Linked DNA regions of Caenorhabditis elegans. The protein of the gene in region 1 purifies or fractionates together with the protein of each later gene. This does not show direct contact. Each region holds a gene or a part of one and is shown on either strand. Other genes may lie near its edges. The genes, in order: cah-2 and vha-13.

Evidence for each region.
Region 2: the proteins of cah-2 (region 1) and vha-13 fractionate together in Caenorhabditis elegans (co-fractionation; one large-scale study listed by BioGRID). This does not show direct contact.

What each region holds. Positions count from the first base shown.
Region 1 is NC_003280.10:7,480,142-7,485,203, reverse strand, and holds cah-2 (Putative carbonic anhydrase-like protein 2), read left to right. Parts: upstream 1-2,094; 5' UTR 2,095-2,112; coding exon 2,113-2,158; intron 2,159-2,662; coding exon 2,663-2,799; intron 2,800-2,862; coding exon 2,863-2,985; intron 2,986-3,040; coding exon 3,041-3,217; intron 3,218-3,259; coding exon 3,260-3,326; intron 3,327-3,677; coding exon 3,678-3,832; intron 3,833-3,886; coding exon 3,887-4,018; intron 4,019-4,065; coding exon 4,066-4,155; intron 4,156-4,200; coding exon 4,201-4,287; 3' UTR 4,288-4,453; downstream 4,454-5,062. Other genes in the region: ubc-6 (UBC core domain-containing protein), read right to left, coding at 4,696-4,874, 4,922-5,062.
Region 2 is NC_003283.11:14,349,853-14,355,233, forward strand, and holds vha-13 (V-type proton ATPase catalytic subunit A), read left to right. Parts: upstream 1-1,856; 5' UTR 1,857-1,864; coding exon 1,865-2,689; intron 2,690-2,970; coding exon 2,971-3,199; intron 3,200-3,299; coding exon 3,300-4,066; 3' UTR 4,067-4,570; downstream 4,571-5,381. Other genes in the region: cept-2 (diacylglycerol cholinephosphotransferase), read left to right, coding at 1-592; Y49A3A.3 (tRNA:m(4)X modification enzyme TRM13), read left to right, coding at 4,598-5,090, 5,133-5,381. UniProt on the Caenorhabditis elegans protein: Catalytic subunit of the V1 complex of vacuolar(H+)-ATPase (V-ATPase), a multisubunit enzyme composed of a peripheral complex (V1) that hydrolyzes ATP and a membrane integral complex (V0) that translocates protons.

The DNA.
Region 1 (5,062 bases):
CTTCTCTTTTTTGCTCACAAAATTCAAATTTCCGTCTCAACCGCGCGGCGAGAATTCACTTTACGCGTTTCTTTTTTGTCACTTTTTTCCAGACTCTCTTTCCGATCACGATAGTCTGACGACATGAAAAGGTGTTCTCATCGTTTATTTTGCAAAGAAAAACTAAAATAACACTGGAATAAGCTTTGTGTAGTATCTGAAAAATAATAGTTTTGTTTTTGAAGAAAATATTTCCGCACCATGTTTCTAAGGTTTCCTTTCGTCAGGAGTCAAGAATGATTGATTCAAATTCATAAACATTTTTTGTTCTAAATTTTGCCTGAAAAATGCTCAATAAATAACTTATTTTAAAGGATTAAAACCAATAAAGATATTCTCACTGTTTCAAATAAATTTTAAAACTCACCAGCTGTAGAAAATTGCCGGTCTTCAAAAGCAATTTTAATCTTATTTGAAGTTATAAAAATTTGTATTTTTGCTAAATAACTTCTAATAGAGAGGTTCTCAGTGCTTCGTCGGACATTTAGAGATTTCATCGAACATTTCTTGTCTTTTTCTCTTTAATCTTCCCACTATTTTCATTTGATGATCCTCCCGAAATCAAAAGAATTATTCATCAATTTACTGGATACGAGTTTCCCACGATTTGTCTATGGGCTCACACAATCTTTTTCGCCTACTCTCGCACCTCCGTCCCACATATTCAAGAGAGTATCAAACGGCAACATTTTTGTTATTTTCTTTCATCAAGCTCTTTCTTTTTCTTATCCACATTTTTCAGCTCATTCTCATGCATTTTTGGCACATTCTCGACTGACCCCGAAAAAGCCACTCTCTACCACTTTTGAATAGTGCTTTTGCACTAATAAAACTGCAGTTTCCTGAACGGAATACCTGGCAAATTGTGGGTCACAGCGGGGCGGTGAAGCAACGCCTTGCCGTTTCTAATCGGACTCCGTCTCGCGGCAGTAAATGTTTTGGCCCAATCTAATTTCTAACCAATTCGGCCCTCCCAGTCGTCATCCTGCGAAGAAAATACACGTTTTTGTTATGTTACACAGCAGTTTTGTTGAAAAAGAAAATATTTTCTTTGAGAAAAGGAGGATAAGTGTATGATATATAACTCGAATAATTGGCTCCATCAGTTATAACTAACTTTCTTCATTTTCCATATTTCTTTTCATCGTTTCACTTCATTTTCGGAGCATCCCCTTGCTCAATAAATTTTTACAAAAATTATCAATATTAAATAAAAAGCTTGAAGAGTTAAAATTTTCTAGCATCAGCCCAAGCTTAAAATATTGAAAAGAAGTAATAAAATTTAATTTTTTTCACAAAATGAAAAATAACATTATTTGTAATAAATGTGCTCCCATTTTTGACACCTTATCATAATAGGTTGCGTAGTACTTTAAACATTATCCACTAGACATCTAGTAAGGTATCTAACTATAAGACTTAGAATTTGATAAGTTTCAAAATTGTGCACCATATACCTGACAGTCCGTGCATTTTAGATTTTTTAACCATTATCTTTTTTGATTACTCTGTGTTGAATATGTATTTTACTATACCTCCAAGGTTCAGCAAAAAGCCCACACAGAAAATTTTCCTGACACTTGTTTTCTAATTTCGTGTCCAAAGATTTCCGGTCATCTTGTTTCAATTGCGTGCCCTTCTCCTCTCGTTTACTACTGATTCAAATATGCAAAATTGCTCGCCATGTCTCTGCGCTTCTTCACAAGCCACATTTCCGGCAATGAACACATCTAAAGGTGCTCCGTGAGCTGGCAATCTGAGTGTTTCATCTTCTTAACCAGTCCCACCTCATCATGTACTCCACCGAAAAAAGTGCACCCAATCAATCTTCCTTGTCTTTTTTTGGGGCTGAGCTCTCTTTTCGCTATTCGTACTACTCGTGAATGTACATTTTTGTCGTTTTCGACACCAATTAGCCGACAAACTCGTAAATAATTCTGAGACGAACAAGTACCGTGTCAGTTGTCACTGGCAACTTTCAGAGACTCTCTTTCTCTGCACTTTTTCTCTTTTTTCTTTGTTCTCTTTTGCTCATTCCCACTACCTTCATTCCAGAAGATTCCGCAGAATATTATGATACCATGGCTCTTGACAGCCTGTATATATCCTTGTGTTATAGGTAAGAAATCTGACTTCCCCGTGATTTAAAATCTGGAAGTTGAAATACACAAACTTCAAATATTCTGTTTATGACAACAATCATATTCATTATGTCTTACTATAATTTAGGGTTATGATTCACTAATCACGTATATAATTGAATACTCCTAGGTATTACACCTATAGTTAAAGTTTTGAAAATAGTTCAGCAGCTTACAAGCTGATGCATTTAACTTTCAAAAGTGGATTAGTTCCACTCACTCATAAATTCGACCAAAAAGTGTTTCCTATTAATTTTTAGTTTTAAAAATGTTTTAATTATTTGTATTTGAACATTTTGAAGATCCTGCGATACTGTTCTAAACTTTTCGAAAGTCAAAATATTACGTAAATTTGGCAGTTTACCAAAACTTTGCCAACAAAAGTTCCAAATTATTTTTTTTAATCTTTAAGCATAGAAGAATAGTTATAAATACATAAATACCATGACTGGTTTATATTTTCAACAATTCAATATTTTCAGGTCCCGACTTCTGGGGATTATTACACGGTGACTGGAGAATGTGTACAGCTGGTCAAATGCAATCACCAGTAAACATTGATCCTTCCCAACTTTTATATGATCCACATCTAATGCCTATAAACATTGAGGGAAATATTGTAAGTTCGTTTTCTATGCTTTCTGATTATGAGTTTCCCGTATAATTTTGTTCATTTTTCCAGGTGGAAGCAGTTTTCGAAAATACCGGACAACTTCCTGTGGTCACAGTTAAAGATCTACCAAATCGGCCAACAATCAATATAACAGGAGGACCAACAATGCCTTATCGTTATAAACTCCATCAGGTACCCTTTATTCGAAAAGGAATTTTTAGACCACGAGCAAATAAATTTAATTCAGATAAGCGTACACTTTGGAAGAGCAGATGAAGGAGAGAAAGGATCAGAGCATACTGTAGACAGAGTTCGATTTCCGGCGGAAATTCAGCTACTAGCATATAATAGTGCACTTTATCCAAATTTCAGTGTTGCAATGACATCACCAAGAGGGCTTCTTGCAGTTTCTGTAATTGTTGATGTAAGTACTTATACTTTTTCTAAAGTCAAAATTTGTATTTAGATTGGAAAGACTACATCTGTGGAGTTACGAAGATTAACGGTTGCGTCACAGAGCATTAACTATAAAGGTGCGTGTTTTTTCAATGGTACAGAAAGTATATAATTGAAAATGAAAAACTCAAAATCTTCACTCAAAATACCGGATGACCGGTTTACAGTGTAAGATCCTTTTTGTTTGGCATCTGGAACATGGTGCAACCATATTTTTAGAGTTTGTTCTACATGAATACTATTTCAATCTTGGTGTGAAAAATATAACTGCTAAATTTGGAACGGAAAAAAAAAGACAAGGTGGTCTGGGACCCACTGGAAAAAACCTGTGCCTTTAGCATTGCCTTACCAAATTACGATAACAAGAAATATTTCATAAAATCAAACGGCATTTTCAAACTGCGTTAAAATTTAGATTCATTTTTCAGGCCAGACTACAAATCTCACTGATTTTCAACCATCTGCACTTTTACCAAAAACCTCTCACTATGTGACATACGAAGGATCTTTAACTTTTCCCGGATGTCATGAAACTGTCACTTGGGTTATTTTAAATAATCCAATTTATATAACCAATGATGATGTAAGTCATAAATGAATCTAATGCAAAGGGCTGAAATAAATTGAAACATTTCAGCTTCAAATTTGGAATGAAATGCAAAAAACAGAAACAAAACAACCAGAACCATCATATATGACTCCTGCATATCGTCCATTGAAATCGTTAAATGGCCGTCTCGTTAGAACAAATATAAATGTTGGATCAAAAGTGAGAAAACTTGGTCTTCCAAATCTTTAATATAGTTAATTGTTCAGCAGTCTACTGTATCTTCAAGTTGTCCATCGAATGTTTACGTGGAAATGGGGTACCAAGCGAATCCTGGTAGAAATAAGCGGAATGATTCGGTAAGATACACGTCGCAGATAAATTTTAATATTTTATTTCAACAGGTTTCTCGAAGATATGTTCCAACATCGGAAGTTTTCGAAATCGATAGCATTCGTCCTGATGATGTTTCCAAAGCCGGTTCATTTTAGTAAATTACTGTACATTCTCTACTCTTCTTTCACTTTGAAAAACTTCGCGTTCTTGCTCATTCTTTCTCCGAAAGATTTAACTATTGATCTGTGTATTTCTGTATTTAATGACACTTTGGAACTATAAAATACGGGTTCGATTTTAAATGAAGTGTTTGACTCTCTTTCTGTAGAATTTTGTGATATTTTTTGACTGAACAAATAGTTAAAACCAATTTTATGAATAAAAAAGAACTCAAGAAATAAGAATCACAAAGAAAGATACTCAAATATTTTGTGATAATTTCATTAGAATCTAAATACTAACTGAGAGGAGAGAGCCAAGAAATAACTGGCAAGTGATTGCACGAAGTTTGATTTTAGAAAATGGAAAAAGTACAACGGGATTGAATAATATTATACATGTATTTACAACTCGGAACCGTCTTTTGGTGAAGTTAGATTATCGACAAGGAAGCGACGAGCCAATAGTGTGAAGAAAATAGCGAAACACAAAGCGATAACTGGAATCTTGTATAGAAGGGTATAGTCAAAGTTTGTTGATGCCAAGCGGGGAGCGTGGTGTTGGAATACCAGAGGTTGTGGATCTGAAAATATAAATTATTTTCAAGACAAAATGTTTCAATTCAAGTACCTCGAATGGGTTGGACAGCAGGTTGTGCGACATCTGGTACTTCTGATGAATTGACATTAACAGTAGTACCTTCTTCTCTCTCATCTGCATCTTCTTCTGATTCTTCGACATTTTCTGTTGGGACCGAGCTTGTTTCTTCAC
Region 2 (5,381 bases), on another chromosome or scaffold:
ATGGTCTATTATTTCAATGCTTCTCTGTACATCACTCTTTGGACCAAAACTCTGGAGTGTTGGAATATTTGGATATGCTCTCAAGCATCTCCTGCTAGCCTGTGTTGGTCTTGGAACGATTTATCAGGCACTGGGCTACTTATCAGTCATCTTCACAGATGGTGTTGGAAAGAATGGATCAACTGTTGCTGGAACATCAGTTCTCTTCCCAGCCTGCCCACTTCTTGCAGTCATTGTTCCATATTGTATGATCTACAGCAAATCGGCATCTGGCGTCTATGATGATCTTATTGTTATATTTGTTCTTCAATTTGGAGCCGTTGCGGCAAAAGCCACAAATCGTCTGATTGTTGCACACATGAGCAGAAGTGAGCTCTCACTTTGGGATTGGATCTACATGGGGCCAATCGCATTGATGATCAATCAATACTACGACATCAAAATCAATGAGCCAACTCTTCTGAAGTACACGACTGTTTACGTTTATGCATCACTTTTAGTCTACTGTTTATTCATAACGCGCCAAATTTGCGACCATATGGGCATTTATTGTTTCAAAGTCACTGCACCAAGAGCTGGAAGTAGCAAGTAATTTCGATTGTATAATTAAATATGGCTTTTCACCTATAGTAATTTGTAATTTTAATTGTAAATGCGGGTGTTTATGAGCGGAAAAGGAATGTTTTGAAGTGCAACGCGTAATGCGTCGCGGTCTCAATTTCTTATCACAACCACAGATCAATCACTTTTCATCTTTTTTTTTGTCTCATCGTCTAAACCTTCAAGAATTCTAACGACTACGTAATTCTAAATAACTGAATGAGCAAATTGGGGAGAAAATTACATTTTCGTTGCGAGACCTTTCGTTTTTGAGCGTCCTGTGCCTTTGAAGAGATTACTGTATGGAAATATTGGTTTAACTTTTTTTTCAGAGTTTGCGGATATAATTTTTCTTTTTTTTCGTATCTATTTAATCGAAATTTAGAAAACAACTATTGTTATAATGATACTGTGGTCCAATTGTTAAGGCGAATAACTTGAAAATAGTTCCAAACGAACATAAATTTTCCGCTCAAACCTCGCAAATCATATTTTTCCTATCTAATAGAGTAACTTCGCTTCCACATTAGTTTATCAAATTTCGCTTGATGACAGACGTGTAACCTTTTCTCCCCGCTACCTAGATAGACGTAAACCTACACAACTTCTGCCACACAAAATTCACTCTCTCACATTCACTCCTCGCTGTATAAAATTCTCGGTTCAATAGGGCGAAGCTGCAACGCGGCGATGATTTCTAGTCGCACGACCGGCGGTTCCTGGTTTTTGCGACCGCCACGGCCACGCTCTCTCTATCTGCTCTCTGCTCTCGGCGCGCTGTCTCTCGCTAGCCTGCCGACGTTTCTCCTTGTCAATCGAACCACTTCTATTCGTTGTAGAATGCCGTGCAGTGCGCTCTCTTCCACATCTTCCGCTTTTTCCAACAACTTCTGTGAGCTTTTTTACCACATCTCTCTCCCCCCGTTTAGTCACAGGAATTACTCGTTTTTTTGTCTCGTTTACCTTTACTTTGATTTTTTCCTTTACAAAAGTTCTTGTAAATTGAATGATAAATTGATTTATATTCCAATTCTCGTTGAATATTTATAAGGGTTCAAGTTTATCCGATTAAACATTGCCCTGCCACTTTATATCTATTCTTTGTATTTTATATTTTGCATTATTGCTCGAATTAATGAGTTTTCCTACTTCTAAACCTAAAAATTCCATTGTCTTTTCGGTCTTCTTGTTGAAAAACGAGGTTTATTTTGATTTTCTTTTCGATTTCCATATAGCTTTCTAAATTCATTCATTCCAGGAAAAGATGGCCGCAGAATCTTCGTACGGATTCGTTTACGGAGTGTCCGGACCTGTCGTCACAGCCGAGAAGATGGCTGGATCGGCTATGTACGAGTTGGTTCGTGTAGGACATCAAGAGCTCGTCGGAGAGATTATTCGTCTCGAGGGTGACTACGCCACTATTCAAGTATACGAGGAAACATCTGGAGTCACAATCGGAGATCCAGTACTTCGTACCGGTAAACCACTTTCCGTCGAACTTGGACCAGGTATCATGGGATCGATTTTCGACGGAATTCAGCGTCCACTCAAGGATATTGCTGATATTACTCAATCCATCTACATTCCAAAGGGAGTCTCCACTAATGCTCTTTCTCGTGAAGCTCGCTGGGACTTCGTTGTGTCCAAGGATCTCCGTGTTGGAGGACACGTGACCGGAGGTGACATCATTGGAACCGTCGATGAGAACTTGCTCATCAAGCACAAGATTCTTCTACCACCAAGTGCATGCGGAACCATCACCTTCGTTGCTCCATCCGGGCAATACACAGTTGAGGACACCCTTCTCGAGCTCGAATTCGCCGGACGCAAGCAGAAATTCTCTATGCTCCAAATCTGGCCTGTCAGATCTCCAAGACCAGTCACAGAGAAGCTCGCTGCCAACAATCCACTTCTCTGCGGACAGCGTGTTCTCGACGCCTTGTTCCCATGTGTCCAAGGAGGAACCACCGCCATTCCAGGAGCTTTCGGATGTGGAAAGACTGTCATTTCCCAATCTCTCTCCAAATACTCCAACTCTGATGCTATTATTTACGTCGGATGCGGAGAGCGTGGAAACGAAATGTCTGAGGTAATTTTTTTGAAAATAATTTTAAAAACATTAGAAAAAATCAAATAAACAAGAAAGCCTTTCCATAATTTCGTTTTTGGAATCAATAGTTTTAATTTTTCAAAAAAAAATTGTGAAAAAGTTTAGTCAGAATAGTTTCGTTTAAGAATAAAATTTAGAAAACAATTAAAAATTAAAAGGTTTATGTTTCTTACTTTTTCCAATGTTTTGTCCCGCATTTAAATTATAAATTAACAATTTTGCCCCTATTTTTTACAATTCTAATTTTTTCTGTTTTTCAGGTACTCCGTGATTTCCCAGAGCTCACCATGGAGGTCGAAGGTGTCACCACTTCCATCATGAAGCGTACAGCTCTTGTCGCCAACACTTCCAACATGCCTGTCGCTGCTCGTGAAGCTTCCATCTACACTGGTATCACCCTTGCCGAATATTTCCGTGACATGGGTCTCAACGTTGCCATGATGGCTGACTCTACCTCTCGTTGGGCCGAAGCTCTTCGTGAGATTTCTGGTGAGTTTTAATCCGTTTAAAATATACTCATATTTGAAATTCATATTTTTTTCTTAATATTTTTGAAATTTCTCTGAACATTTTCAAATTTTCTTTTCAGGACGTCTCGGAGAAATGCCCGCCGATTCCGGATACCCAGCTTACCTTGCCGCTCGTCTCGCTTCCTTCTACGAACGTGCCGGACGTGTTAAGTGTCTCGGATCTCCAGAACGTGAAGGATCCGTCACCATTGTCGGAGCCGTATCACCACCAGGAGGAGATTTCGCCGATCCAGTCACATCCGCCACCCTCGGTATCGTACAGGTGTTCTGGGGACTTGACAAGAAGCTTGCTCAACGTAAACATTTCCCATCTATTAACTGGCTTATTTCCTACTCCGAGTACATGCGTGCTCTTGAGGAGTTCTACGAGAAGAACTACCCAGAGTTCGTCTCACTCCGTACCAAGTGCAAGGAGATCCTCCAGGAAGAAGAAGATCTTTCCGAAATTGTGCAACTCGTCGGAAAAGCTTCCCTCGCCGAATCAGACAAGGTCACACTTGAGGTTGCCAAGATCATCAAGGACGATTTCTTGCAACAGAACGGATACACCAAATACGATCGTTTCTGCCCATTCTACAAGACTGTCGGTATGCTCAAGAATATGATTGGATTCTATGACTTGGCCCGTCATGCTGTTGAAGCAACTGCTCAATCTGATAACAAGATCACATGGAACGTCATCAAGGATAGCATGGGAGATTTGATCTACCAGCTTTCTGCCATGAAATTCAAGGATCCAGTTGCCGATGGTGAAGCCAAGATTCGCAAGGATTACGAAGATTTGGCAGAGGCTATGGCTAACGCTTTCAGAAACCTCGAGGATTAAATTAATGTTTTTAGAAATTTTAAAATTGATTCTCTTGTTTGTTTCTGTTTTCGCCTCCCCGCTAGATTCTGTTCAGTTTTGCTGAGCGTGTACTTTTTAGTTAAAAGTATATGTTTTTCCTTGATCCCCTCACCCAATTCGCCTCCTTTCTCTACTTTTATCCTCTTTAAAGTGTTTGATTGATTTGACATTCCAAATTTCAGATATTTATTGCACCTTTTTTCTCTTTTGTAGATTTCTAAACTTCAAAAAATTCCAACCACACACAATGTATCTGGTCGCCTTACAACTCCCGTTTTAAACAACAATTTCACTTATATTAATCAATATTTTTGGTATTCTTCTTGTTGAATAGACTACTTTACTTGTGCCCTTCCATTTCTTTTTTTGCGACAACCAACCCGTATAGTCTTACGAACCACGTTTTACTGTGTTGTGATATGTATAATACTTTTGAGACACACCAATTCAACTATAGCAATAAACTTTAGGAAAATCACAAATATCTCGCACGCAGGTCTCGTTTTCAAAATGGAATTGGATTCGGTGAAGCAGCAACAACAGCAGAACGCTTGCTGTGAATATATTCTACCAATTAAGAAGCGACGGTGTAAGATGCTGGTGAAAAAGGGAAATCGGTTCTGTGGAGAGCATTCAATTCACGATCAGAATAACACTGATCGTATGGTTTGCCCGAATGATGGAAAACATACGATTCTGAAGGCAGATCTAGAGATTCATCTGACAAGGTGTAATTCTAGAATCAGAGATGCAGAATATATCAAAATTGATGCAAATTCTATTCGTGGCGAGACCAAACGCACCGATAAAATTGATCGAAGAGCCACTGAAGATGAGATTTGTACCACTGTGCACAAGATCTGGAAGTGCTATGAGACGGATGTAATGGATCGTTTGATTGTTGAGCAACAAAGAAATGAGCTCGTCGAGCAAAATATCGCACAAAATTCAGATCTGAACAACACGAAAAAGAAGCAATTATACCAGATTTCGTCTATTTTAGGTTTTATAAAATGCATTTCCATTTTAATAATTTTCTTTTCAGGTCACATCGAATCCACAGGGCTACTTCCAACTTGCTCCAAATCTTGCATGTTCGAGCTCGGAGCTGGAAAAGGTCAACTAGCTTATTGGATCTCCAAAGCAGCGCCAAATGGAAATTATATTCTCATGGATCGCTCTGGATCACGAAATAAATTTGATACTGCTGCATTTCGAGAGAATCCGAATTTATCAATGAAACGCTTCCGATGCTCAATTGAACATATGGACTTGAGCAAGATTGATGAGCTGA